Linked DNA regions of Drosophila melanogaster. The main gene of each other region encodes a partner of the protein of the gene in region 2 in a complex. Each region holds a gene or a part of one and is shown on either strand. Other genes may lie near its edges. A codon is read from its position in the direction of its gene.

Region 1 (4,801 bases), on a different chromosome or scaffold from region 2:
TCAGGAAACTGAGAAAGCACAAGGCAGATATATCCAAGGATCAGCCGCCGGCGCTACCGTGTCCACCAGACTTGACTTCTGTGAGTCCGCAACACCATCTGCACCATCATCATGGCCACCATTACGCAAGTTCCGAGGCGGATTCCGTGCCGGCCACAGGAAATTCAACACCGTTACCGGGTTTCAGCAATATTCCCCATTGCAAGATAATACCCGTGGAGTCGTACAAACATGAGTATCCCGACTACGATCCCGATGAGGAGGAGACGGACGATCAGTGCGATCCGCAGCAAATGATGCTGCCGCAGAGATATAATCCTTATCACATGGAGCACGACGCCTGGAGTTCGTCCTGCGATATGGCGAATGATTTTGCTGGCTATGCCTCTGTGCCACAAAGTATTTCCGGATCGGTCAGCTCACCGCCCTCGGCCCCGCCAACAAATCCACTACTTAGGCGGAATCAGTATTGGGTGTAAGGTTTAGAAGGATGTTCTGCAATAAAGGGATCAATACAAGCGTTTCCAATTCGATCGGAATTAGTCCTAGGTTATTTATTTAAATATAAGCTTACGTTTAAGGCTGATTTATGAGATTCGTTAGGAAAAGTGAAGCATTTTATATACGAAAACATTAATTATAGTTTGGAAACAAGCACACATACATATCTGGCGTGTCATATACAAACGATTAGCATTAAGGACGAGAACAAGAGTTATACTCAAAAAGCCAACTTAACTTAGCCTTAGAATTGTGTTTGCCAACGTGGAATACTTTTTACAATAAATGACAATACTTTTAAGCGTAGTTCCCGTGTCTTATTTCAAAACTCAAAAAATTTTCAGGAAGATTTATTTCGCATTCGTAATTATTTTAACCGGATGGAAGTGTGTTGAGAAACGTTTGTGGTGATTGCGAATGAATTGGTTTTCCCCCATATTACCATTTACAAAACTTTTCCACATAAAAAACTTAACATGATAATAAATTGAACATTATAAATATATTTCTTAACAGTTATAAATATGTCTCTTCGTTCATAGTTGTGATGTTGTAAGTATTTTCGTTGCTTTAAGGAAAATATTAAAGTAAAGAGAAAAAAGTTCCTTTACATATAATTTCATACAGATCGAATATAAGTTTTCAGGGCCACATTGGGTTATCAAAAATATGTCCCAACATATATAAACCTATTAATTAAGGTTTATATTCTACAGATATGCGTATATATTCCATATTGATAGAAGACTTCTTGCTTAATAACTATGAAAAATATCACTAGTTTTAATGTGGTGCACATTTTGCTTTCGCTGGACTGATTTAGAAGTAAGAGTTTTCAAGTACTTGTATGGCCTTAGAAAGCGACGGGAATCGTCGCTGCTGAGGGTTTCTCGGAAACCGGCGTTACGACCATGGCCTGATTATCGTATCCGTATCCGATCTCCGTCATAACCGTTGTGGGCGTGGTACTGTTTTCCGCCGGATAGCGAGTGCTCACCGGCGTTGTCATAGTCACAACGGAACCCTCGGCAGCACCTGTAATAAATCATTGCAGGTATAATGTGTACATTGGGAAGTGTTATTGGAAAAACCCGGACAGGTAGATCCTTACACTTACCTGCCACACTGTAGATCTGTGATTGTGCCCGCTCAAGGTCGCTGCCGGGATGGTTAATGGCATTCAGATTCTGTATGGTGGTAGCATTAAGATCCTTTCCATTTGCAGTTGCCGGATGAGGGTAGGCCTTCGATTGGAGACGGCGCATCAGCTTCTGGAAGCACCGATTGCCTATCAGCCATCGAAGGAACTGAAACGCGCAACGAAGCGCAATCAGGACGAGAAGGATAGTCAGCAGCAAGAGGATCAGCTGCTGGGTATTCTGGATGTCCAGCATCTCGGCTTTTAACGGCTCAAATGTCTTGTAAGCTGTGGGTTGATAAAGAAATTAAATAATATCGCTACTATTATCGTTTTAAGTAAATAATAATTGATAAAACACGGGAACGTTTTTGATAACTCGTTGTACATAGTCAGATAAAAATTGCAAATGCAACTGGCCTTATCTTGCCATTACAACTTTTACAAATCTTTTACACTAAAAAAATTATTATAAAGCTAGTTTCAACAAATCATTTTTATTATAAAAATGTACATTCTTTAAATCTTTAAAATACCCCCTATTTTAGTCAACTCATGGGTGATGAGTTAATCACCCGCTGAAGCAACTGTAATTGAAATACAATTAAGTCCAGCTGGAAAAACCTGAACTTGCATAGAACCCGCCAAATTACCCTATGGATCGTGAGTTAATCTGAGGTAATCTTTTGGAAATCTTTGAATTCTACTTGCCTGAACATTCCTTGGCGCACAGAAACGCATCGTAGTTGTGGGTTTGATTATTGCAGACCTCGATGCACGGATGACATCTCTCCGTTGCAACATAGCAAAATTCATTGACCGGATGACAGATCGTGCCATGGCAATCCCTACTCTCTCCATTGGCCGCAGCTACCAAGGAAACACTTGGAATCAACGGAACTCCACCAATGGAGAGCGATAGGGCACTCAACTTCCTGACCGACATTTGAGGTATTTTATAATGTGTGCTTAATTTACTTGTTATGGGTATTTGGTTTTGTAGCGAGCTCGTTCCGCTAAGTTTGATCGAAGTTTACATTAGCACTGTTACAACTTTTTCCTCGTTTTAAGGTTTTTGTTTTGTTATTTTTAAACGTATCCAAAGTATGATTCATACACCAGTAACGCGGCCCAGACGCTAACTGACTAACTTCTTTTTTAATTGCTGGCTTCTGGAGTCTGAGTATTTTGCGTTGCCCTTATACGTATAATCACATGTGTATTGGTGCAAACGAGTTTATCTTAGCCAAGTTTTACAGCAGTTTTCATAGTATTCCGGTTAGTTTCTCAACATTTTCACACATTTTTCTAGGGGATGTCCGGACACTTAATTATTAGGTTTAATTCTGTATTTTTTACACCAATATATTATATATTATATGATTTAATACGCTTTTTAACTTTAAACGTTTTTAGCCATCGTTCAGCGACGCGTTTTGAGCCACATTCAACTCGTTACTGACTGGAATGCCGCGATCGCTCGCTGTTACCAACAACTCAGCACTCGCACCGAGGCATCTATCTCAAATACACACTCATTCGCACCGTGACTTGACTTTTGTTTACCTTTTTCACGTCGATTGTAGATGCAAAAGTATCTGTATATCTATGCTGTGGCAAGTAATACAAGTATTTGTGTGTCTGCGATCGACTGTTTATTTTGCGCTATGAGTGAAATACTCCCGACTTCGGCATACTTTGAACCCGGCTTCAGTTTCTTAAATTTCGGCTGCGATTTGACTTATAAAAATAAATAACAACGAGAAGGTAGTGCCTCAAGAAGTATTTTATAGAGACTACTTGCTCACTCACTTTATTACCCAAGTTATCAATTAAAATAATAATAAAGTTTTATATGAATAAACGACAATATGTTTAAGATAACTTTTATTGAAATTCCCAGTATCCCAATATGAACTATACGTTTAAAGTTTTTTTTACAACATTACCTATTATTTAAATTTTAATTATAATACCTTACTTTCACAACTAACTAGCAGTCGTGATATTTATAAACAAGTTTCTAGCTACACAATTTTTATCTAATTAAATATGATTTTGGAATTTTTTAAGTGTAGCATTTGTTGAGGATTGAAACCTCGCTTAGCTAACGCAATGGTGTATGTCTTTACTAAACAGCAAATGCCATATACATAAATAAAAGAAATACTGAAATTCGTTGCTCCCAACTCATTTTGGAAAATTAAATAATAATAAAAAACCATATGTACATATATACCGTTTAATGAATTTATAAATCAATAGTAAAATTATAACTTTTTGTATTTAGATTTGAAATCTTTTTGAAACTTGGCAGCACTGTTTTGAGTTATTCTCTCTCCTCTCTCTTATTCTCTCTTCCATTGCAGTGCCGCTTTCGAGATACATTTGTATCGGCTTCCAGTTCCAGCGCCGCTTGCAGTATTATTGTGTCTTCCAGTTAGCTGGACTGTATGGCCAAGTCAAACAACATCCATTCGCTGAGCGGCTTTCGCTGTTGAATGAGCTGTTTTGCTGCTTTCGTGGAACGACGGCCGCCGGTTCGTTGCGTATCTTTGGGATACAATACCTAAATCAAATCGAATTTTGAATTGCAGCTGTCGTTGTTGCGCGCGTGTTGATGGTGGAAATTGTGGAATTATAAGCATTATATCTCGTGTGGAAGTGTGAAAGTGAAATAGTTGCACCGAGAGCGACGCAATTAGATGAAAATATAGTTTACTCACGCTCTGTATCGCCGCATCTATGTATCTATTTTGCCAGCCCGCTTCAACAAGTAAACCAACATAAATTAAAAATCAGTGGAGTGGAAGGCGCGTCCTTGAGCTACCCAATTTAAACACCTGTTTTAGAACGAGATACAGATATTCTATAGAGATTTGAGCCACCGAAAGAGACAGCCAGAGCCTGTTAGAAAGAGAAGGGTGGCGAGAGGAGGAGAGAGATGAATAATTTCACAACCACAACAGCAGCCGCACCACCAAAGGAAGCGCTGCCCCGATCAGGACATGTTAATGAGGGTAAGCATGGGTTAAGAACCGAACCGAAGCAAACCATTTCGAAATTGGTTGAACATGAACAATTTCGTACGGGGCCTTGGATAATTGGAAATTGATTGGGTTTGAGTGTAGCTATTGAGATGAAGGGGCTTTGGAATTGGGG
Region 2 (8,021 bases):
AAATAAAGCTGAGGGATATCTTTGAATGGCTCTTCATTTGAGATTTGAATTGAAAGCATTTGAAGCATTTTGAATCGAATTATACTAAGAACGAATATTCATTATTTAGAAGATTATAATATTTTCAATTGCAACTGGTAGCAATTGATTCAATTGATGTTTCTTAAACACGCTTACACAAGCGGGTAATAGCTACATATATTTTTATTCACTTTTTAGAGTCGAACGAGTATATACAAAATAAATATGATTTTCCTCCGTCTTCTGACTAATGCAGTATGCACGATTCCGATTGAGATTAGGTTTGGAGTGACTAAGACTAGGTACTACGAACTAATGGATTCACGCTGGCGATGAATCGCATTCACGAGCAGTCGCGGGGACAAAAGCTTAAACTGGTATTCCATCTTCTGACCGGGGATAATCTCTCCAATTTACACCTTGAAGATGCCAAAGTAGCTTCGGTTGTTTCCCTCCCGCAGAACTGCATTGCGATCGTTGTGAATGTCCTTCAGATGGATCCTCTCGTTTCGTTCCAGGTGGATCAGACCACTCGTGTGGCAGGTGTGCACCTTATGTGGCATGTTGGTGGGCACCGTGTTCAAGCACTGCAGGAATGGAGTGTCTCCTTGAAAGACGATAAATCCGTTCTGGTCGTGCGAGTTGTTGTAGCATATCTGGGCGTATACGTAATATAGGCCTGTATTGGTCACCGTCAAGACGCCATCGCGCGTTTGAAAGTGTCCCTGATAAGAGTTTCTCTCGTTATCATTTCCTATGTACATATCTCCATGGTAGCCTGAGAAATTCAAGAAGTGACTTCATTAGGTTGCCTGTAGTACTTGTATGTACACGCTTGACGCGGAAGCATCTCCTTACCCATACTTCCTTGGTGACGCCGCCTGCTGCTCAAGTGGAAATGGGCTGCTGGCCTCGAGTCCTCGGATCTGGCTGAAAGAAGAGATTCACCTGCAAATTAACAGAGGTGCGAATAGAGATTTGGTATTCGATTTTTGCCAATTGTTTCGCTTTTCTACACTACACACCTTTGCGGACTAGGAGGTGGCGATGGCGGGAATGCATTCTGCGACGGTGGTGAAGTGGTGCAGGGCTTCAAGTAAAAAGAAAATGTATACATATGTGTTTCAGTTACGCAGTTAACTATCTATCTTTAACCCATAGCATATAACTTCATTAATGGTTTTTCTTGCCTGTTTTCAACGGAACGTTCTACTTACCTCTCTTTGGAAGTTGCCTCATTGGATGACTTTTCCTGAAGCTCTGTGTGATTTCCTTGAATATTCTGCTCCTCATTGCGTACATCGGCAATCGAGCGAGATTTTCTGTGAAGAGGAAAAGCAGAGGCTTAATACGATAAATCCCTGAAAATTTCATCCGTGCTCACCTCTCCTGCTTCTTTTTGTGGGCATTGTAGCTGGTAAAGTCATCGAACACATTGTCATCATTTGAGGCTGAGGATGCACTGTCCGTCTCGCCCTCGCCCTCAGCAGTGGTCTCAGATGTGGGCGTGGTGCCGGTATGTGCATTGTTGAGTTTATTTAACATATCGGTGTAGTCCTCGTAGTCTGCGCCAACATCATCCACAGAGCTATAGCTAACGTCGTCGTCCTCGTCGTCCGCAATGGAATCCAGACCATCGCCATCGTCGTCGTCCTCCTCATCCGTGAGGCCATCCACCTTTTTTGGATAGTCGATGAGGGCATTCTCGTACTGCAACGAAGGGATGGGCATCAGCATTTTGGGTCAGAAGACTTGGCCAAGTACGTGACTGCAGCTGGCACAGTCCTGGCACATATCTCACATCCATTTGGGACGTTCATTTTTAGACACACGCCCGCAGCACAGGCTGTTTCGTCATCATCCTAATTGATGGCGCCTCGCTCAAAAACATGATACTCGTATACATATACTTGTGTACATCATACATATATTTAAAAGCGAAGGAAACTCTCAAGAGAATTGGCACCACAGATGCCCAGCCATCAAAATATAAATAAATCTTAAAATCTTAAAACCATCTCTGGCCATTAGGCCATTTGATGAGATTCGATCAATCGTCACATACAGCCAAAAGCGATCGCTCGCCTTGAACGACTATATCTACTGATAGAGCCTAGTATTTTTGTTGAATTATTGGGGCTTTTACCTTTTGTCACTTGGGGATTTGTATCTCATAAATTACGTGAACTGGCTGGCGCCTCATATTTGAAATGAGTGTTTCCTTGCGGAAAGAGACATTATAATTCAAATAATCTATCACAATTTTCTATGTGCCTTTGGCCAAGCAGCTAACAAAAAAAAATGAAACAAATAACAGATGAAACAGCGTCGAAATTATATTTTAGCACATAATTCTATAAATATTTTTGTATGTCCCACACAATAACCACATATTACGTCTGGTCATTTTTTTGAGGCATTCTTTTTCAAAAACAGGCGCATGGCTTACCGACTGTGAGATACCCTAGCCAGAGTTTGCCATCATAAAATGCAAATTACCCTTTAGGCAAAAAGAAAACTAAACATAATAGATACTCAATAACAAAAGTTCGATATACCCTCATTAAAAACTCAAGTACCAGCCTCAAGGAATAACAATCATTTCCGACTTTGTAAACAATTCGAGGTATCTGTATTTGCCCGGGGCAAATGTTACAGCCCCTGCCCCATCGCCGAGTACAAATATTGATGCTCGAAAGTGATTTACGCAATTGCTCACCTCCTTTTGGAACTCGTCGAACTCGTCCAGATAGTTTATGCCCAAACGCTGCTGGAGATTATCGACGACTCGCTTCAGGCTCTTCAGCTCCTTGTCCAGATGCGATACACGCGTTGTCTGCCAGATCTGCAAGATAAGATAATTCAATTGTTACACACTCATTCAGGCTCGTTTCTAATCATCCGCTCATTAGCAATTGGGCAATCAATTTAACGTAGCCCCAATTAAACATCTATAGCTGGTGCTAAGGCCCGGCACATCATATAACACCCAGTGCCGCGAACTTTTGACACCCGAAAAATATATAAAAACTAACTGAACAAACTGATAGAGGCGAGACGAGAAAGATTTCGTGGGGAAATACGGCGGGGTACGTACGATCGCCACTCAGCCACATAATCTGCTTAATGGATCATTAACATTCGGGCCGAGCAGAGGCCTTATATACGGACACTTCTCAAGTCTCGACTGGCAGCCGAAATCGAAAAGAATGGCTCAACTTAAGCCACTGTACGCGCAGACGGGGAAATATACACATGTACATACATGTAGGTACACACAACAACTTGTACTGAATTCTTGTATAAATTATGGACTTTACGCAGACCCAAGAAACTTGTTTAAGTTTCCAGTGAACCACTTTCCATTAGAGCTTATCGGCGATCAGTAGATCGATCGCAGCGCCTGCAGTTTGTCACTTTCTTAGAGGGCCCCAAATGATGAGGGTTACTTTGTACGAATGTCAGTGAAATTGAATTAAACAACGAAAAATGCTTCATGGCTTAACGGAGATTTATGAGGAAAACCGAACTTGAGGCCCACGTCAGTGGCTGAAGCCAATCATTTACAAGTCAATTGTCAATTGTACGATTTCCGTTCACTTAAGCCAAAGTTGAGTGGGTCATGGAGGAGTCCTGGGTGAGGGGGGGGGAAATGGGGGTGGGAGAGAAGGACCAGATTCAAGTCCACAAACTTAATCTTCTGCAATTCAAATCCGGATTTCAGCGAGCACACTCATTCGCAAAGTTATCAGGGAAAAACATGACACAACAACCCAGTCGAAGATTTATCGAATGCATAACAGAACGGACTCAGTGGCATTTAAATCGGTTGAACAAAAACAAAAGGGAAGAACAGACATGTACCGATAAACATTTCTCTAGCATCTGCATCCGCTTTATTTGGATTAGCTGGATCATTAGGAACCGATTTGGCCTAAAGACGTGTCGGTGATGACATCGCTTGATCAGCCAAGAAACCGCCGTTTTTCCCGCTCTAAATATAGTTTCATGCCAAATTATAGTTAACCTATCTGCGACGGTCACGGATCATAAAGTCTGTTTTCATTTCAATTTATGCATCCGCGGAATTTCGTCTTTAATTTGGCATCAACAAAGACTTTGTGACAAACAGCTTTATAAGCCGAAGCGTGCCAAAGGTTAAATATTCATTTTTAGATTGCGATTTCGGGGGTGTCTATACACATACGTTGTTAAAGTCCAATTTGCATTTATATTTATTCGCATTTTATTTTGGCAAGCTACTGAAATAAACATTTCCGAAAAATAGGAGTCTGTTCAGAGTCTAGAAGGCGGTTCATGGCTGAATGGAATCTCTCTGTTTTTATGCTTTCATTACTTTATTGGTGCAATCTGTTTTCCAGATAAAACTAACTGTCGTTGTGATGGTTTTTGGAGAGATAACTAAGCAAAATTATAAATTAAACTACCAAAATAAAACACTAAAAACACAATAAAACACAAATTCTACAAAAGTCTAGTTTAAGAATCAGTGTAATACCTTTACACTCGTTTCGAAACAGTCATTAAAACGGCCATATAATCATGATTGGCCCACTTTGGCGCCCAAAATATCATTAAACAACATAGCCCATAACAACTCATTCCTATCTATATTCTGGGGAAACTCCCACCAATAACTGATATACCCACACCTTTGGAATTCCGACGAATCATTAATCGCACACAACAAACAAAAAAAAAGGCATTCAAGTATGGAATAGCTATTTCAATTTGGAGGTGACTACTTTAATCTTTTTCAAATTATATTCATTAACTAAATCTATTCAGCACATTTGACGATTTTAGTGTGCTAAAAAACATTAAAAACATAAAATGCGACTGAAGAGATTGTACGACGCTCAAACACACATAAAATATGTTATACTATTTATTTATTTGTAATTATTTCAATACTAAGTATGATTTGTGCCACCTTAATTAAACATCTTTAAGCATGGTTTGTTATCTTAAGTAGGCAGATAGAGACGCAATGTTATCAATTAATAGCATCTTAATGAAAATTTTGTAGTACGATTTCATTCAGTTCAGAGTCTAATTGGTGTGTTTAGAATCGCGATAGTCGATCCAAATGGGCAATAATACCTGATTGGGCTGCTATTGGGTAAATGATTGTGAAGGAAAACTTACCGTTAGTGCGAGAATGGCAACGACCAGCCCCAGACCGATGAACCCCAAAACCAGGGGGATCAGCTGGCGGGTGCGTCGCTGGGCGGTCGCCGTGCTGGTCGCTTTGGCCGGAAAACCATCATCGTTGGCACTCGTTGGCGTTATAAACGGCTTGAGGGTCTCGGCAGTCATAATTGATGAACACTGGGGATCTTAGAGCAACCGGGGCCTCCAGATGCTGATGCTGATTCTGTTGATAATGACGACGATGATGATGATGACGATCTTGCCCACCCACTCAAGGGCACTCGACAGCTGTTTCCAATCGAGCTTTGTCGCACTTTATATGAACACACTCTATGTATTTAAGATACTACACGAGCACACAGAACAACCTCACAGACAGCATGAGATGATAAGCTGCGACATCTATATAGATAAACCCCTCGGGCTGCTGATGGTGCCCTTTTCAGATTGTATTACCACACTTGTTTTGTCTACTGCTTGTTTTTCTCTTCCGCGATCGGCAATTAGCAAAAGAAAAGCGCGAAAACAAGTTTCTCAAGATATTTTCTAGTTTTATCAGTTCTTGTTTGCGATAAAGGCACAGCGAAAACCAAAAAAAAAAAAAAAAACACAACACACAGTGGACGAGTTGCACTTATGTATTTTTAGTAATTTGCCCGATGGCGAAATTCAATCTTGGTAAGTAGTTAACTGAAACGGATAGCTTTTTTTCTTCGCTATCATGCACGCACGCGCTTGCTTGGGATCTCTGATTTACCGGTTTCTTTTCTCACTTTAAACGTCCGTTCGCGTCGACGATTCGAAAGAGAATGAATTTGAACTGAGAACGGGAGCGTGAACTGAGGGAAAACGAACCGAGCGGCACTTGATTTCTCACGTTCGAGCAGGCAGGCGAGCAAGAGGGACAACGGATTGGCACCGTCTCCCTCGCTCACGTGGCGAGGATGCGCGGCATACTTAAGGGCGCCTGCGCTGTTTACTTTGTGTAATTAATTTTTGGCAAGGTTCTCCCGGGGTGGTGTTTTGGTGATACAGTGGGCTCTGGCTAACAGGAATTAAATTAATTATTATATTTCTACAATTTTACATGTACATATGTATATGTAGATACGATTTTTATTTATTATAACAAATTATTTGTATGAAACTCATAATCATGGTGTGCATAAGAAATATTTACAAAAATATGATTTATAATATGATATAACACTAAATAATAGTTCATATAGTCTAAAGTTGTTAACAATTTAACAATGTTATCATAATTTCAATATCAAATTGAAATGCTCAAATAACGAACTTTAATAACATTTATCAAAAGAGAAGAAAATAGTGTATCTAATTTAGAATATTGGATGCCATATTGAAGACCATCTCATCGTTGTTTTTAGCCAAGACAGACTGTACTTGGTTCCGATTTCCCTTGCACATATGGCGATCATAAGTAGCAAAGCGTGTTTGACTTTTTGCGCAGTGTTTTCCACTGCTTTTATTTCTTTTTATGTGTTATGTGCACTTAAAACCTCCCCCTGTGATTTATAGGGGTTGCTCGATTGCTTTTTGAAATCGGCACCACTGTAAGCGGCTTGGCTTCGCATCCCCGGGTTTTCGCTTCATTTTCTTTGTGTGGCTGCTTTGTTCGAGCTCCCTTCATGACACTGACATGGAACAGATCCCCGATCTTCGATTCCCGAGCCGCAGCTAATTGAGTTCCGAAAAGTGGCGGATCGTTGACAAACCCATAGATAAGCCAAATGAACTTTTAGCATTTCATTAAAATCGTATTTATTATTACTTAGACCGACGATCGGGGTCTGTCAGCGCCGTGCCTAAGTACGGGTTCTAATTACGGGTAGCGGGGTAGCCATAAACCTAATGCTGATCCGATCCGATCAGCCACCGTCGCGACAACTAGTCTGCCGAACCGGCTGCCAAACAGACCCGTATCGTAAATCCGCCCAAGAGTGTCGTCATTCGGCAGAGATGCAAATGTCGGCGTTGGTCAGCTAATTAGTTTCTAATCGTCTGCGACAAACAGGTAACCACAGGTAGAACTGCTCAGGCCGTAAGAGCGGGGATCGGATGGCACACGCTTCCGGTGCACTTCTTAACCCATTAGTCGTTATCTGTTTTCGCATTGTGCAAGACCACATTTTTATTTATAATTTTCAATGTTCGGAAATGGTAAATCAATGATTTAAAATTATATACATATACATATGTATGTACATTTGTATATACAATAGTTTTTGAAAAGCTTCTATTACTTTTTTGTGTTTTGTATCTTACTTTTTTGTATTACATCATTTGTTTTATATAAATTCAGTTGTGAAAAGCTTAATTAATTATGGAATAAATCGGACGAATTGTTTCAATCTAAGCTCTGAGACCTTTTTGGTTTTATGCAGTGTTAATGAATCTGATTCAATGATCTGTGCAAACATATATGTACATATATCAGCATTGAGCTGGTATGTCGATGTACATGATATTGTAAGATCTAGATATATCACGTGCTTGCACAGAGGGTTAACCATCAGCCTCACTTAATGGAGCACGGCCAAGAAGCAAGACGATCTCGAGGCGATTTTTCAAAGTCAATGCCGGGCAATTGACTTAGCTACAGTACAGACACCCAGTCATGCCATTACACATATTCTCCCCCCATTGAGTAAGTAGCGCTTCTCTTGGGCATTGTTTGGATCGGATCAGACTGGGGAGTTCGGACCCATATATACCGTACTGTGGATTCCTTATGTGCTAGTCGTTTATCGCGCGATCGGCGATGATATTTATTAGACATGCGCCGCAATAGCGCCAACGAC

The links.
Region 1: the proteins of egr (region 2) and grnd are in contact, whole or in part, in a crystal structure (PDB 6ZT0), measured with the Drosophila melanogaster proteins. Residues at the interface, in NP_724878.2 of Drosophila melanogaster: Ser341 (codon at 662), His342 (codon at 659), Asp343 (codon at 656), Gln344 (codon at 653), Leu360 (codon at 605), Thr365 (codon at 590), Asn366 (codon at 587), Lys370 (codon at 575), Ile393 (codon at 506), His394 (codon at 503), Asn395 (codon at 500), Arg397 (codon at 494); in NP_001260538.1 of Drosophila melanogaster: Tyr48 (codon at 2,444), Val49 (codon at 2,441), Ala50 (codon at 2,438), Thr51 (codon at 2,435), His55 (codon at 2,423), His66 (codon at 2,390), Asn67 (codon at 2,387), Tyr68 (codon at 2,384), Asp69 (codon at 2,381), Phe71 (codon at 2,375), Leu72 (codon at 2,372).

What each region holds. Positions count from the first base shown.
Region 1 is NT_033779.5:18,483,752-18,488,552, reverse strand, and holds grnd (grindelwald), read right to left. Parts: upstream 3,137-4,801; 5' UTR 2,586-3,136; coding exon 2,351-2,585; intron 1,928-2,350; coding exon 1,619-1,927; intron 1,537-1,618; coding exon 1,355-1,536; 3' UTR 532-1,354; downstream 1-531. Other genes in the region: kon (kon-tiki), read left to right, coding at 1-479; CG10283 (uncharacterized protein), read left to right, coding at 4,584-4,659. UniProt on the Drosophila melanogaster protein: Acts as a receptor for TNF-cytokine egr. Plays a role in activation of JNK signaling and is required for egr-induced apoptosis, including in wing imaginal discs during development. May also play an egr-independent role in cell proliferation.
Region 2 is NT_033778.4:10,076,352-10,084,372, reverse strand, and holds egr (eiger), read right to left. Parts: upstream 6,008-8,021; 5' UTR 5,362-6,007; coding exon 5,191-5,361; intron 3,761-5,190; exon of another isoform or gene 3,679-3,760; intron 3,586-3,678; exon of another isoform or gene 3,449-3,585; intron 3,186-3,448; exon of another isoform or gene 3,048-3,185; intron 2,867-3,047; coding exon 2,741-2,866; intron 2,121-2,740; exon of another isoform or gene 2,051-2,120; intron 1,732-2,050; coding exon 1,406-1,731; intron 1,344-1,405; coding exon 1,239-1,343; intron 1,112-1,238; coding exon 1,047-1,111; intron 970-1,046; coding exon 880-969; intron 800-879; coding exon 435-799; 3' UTR 163-434; downstream 1-162.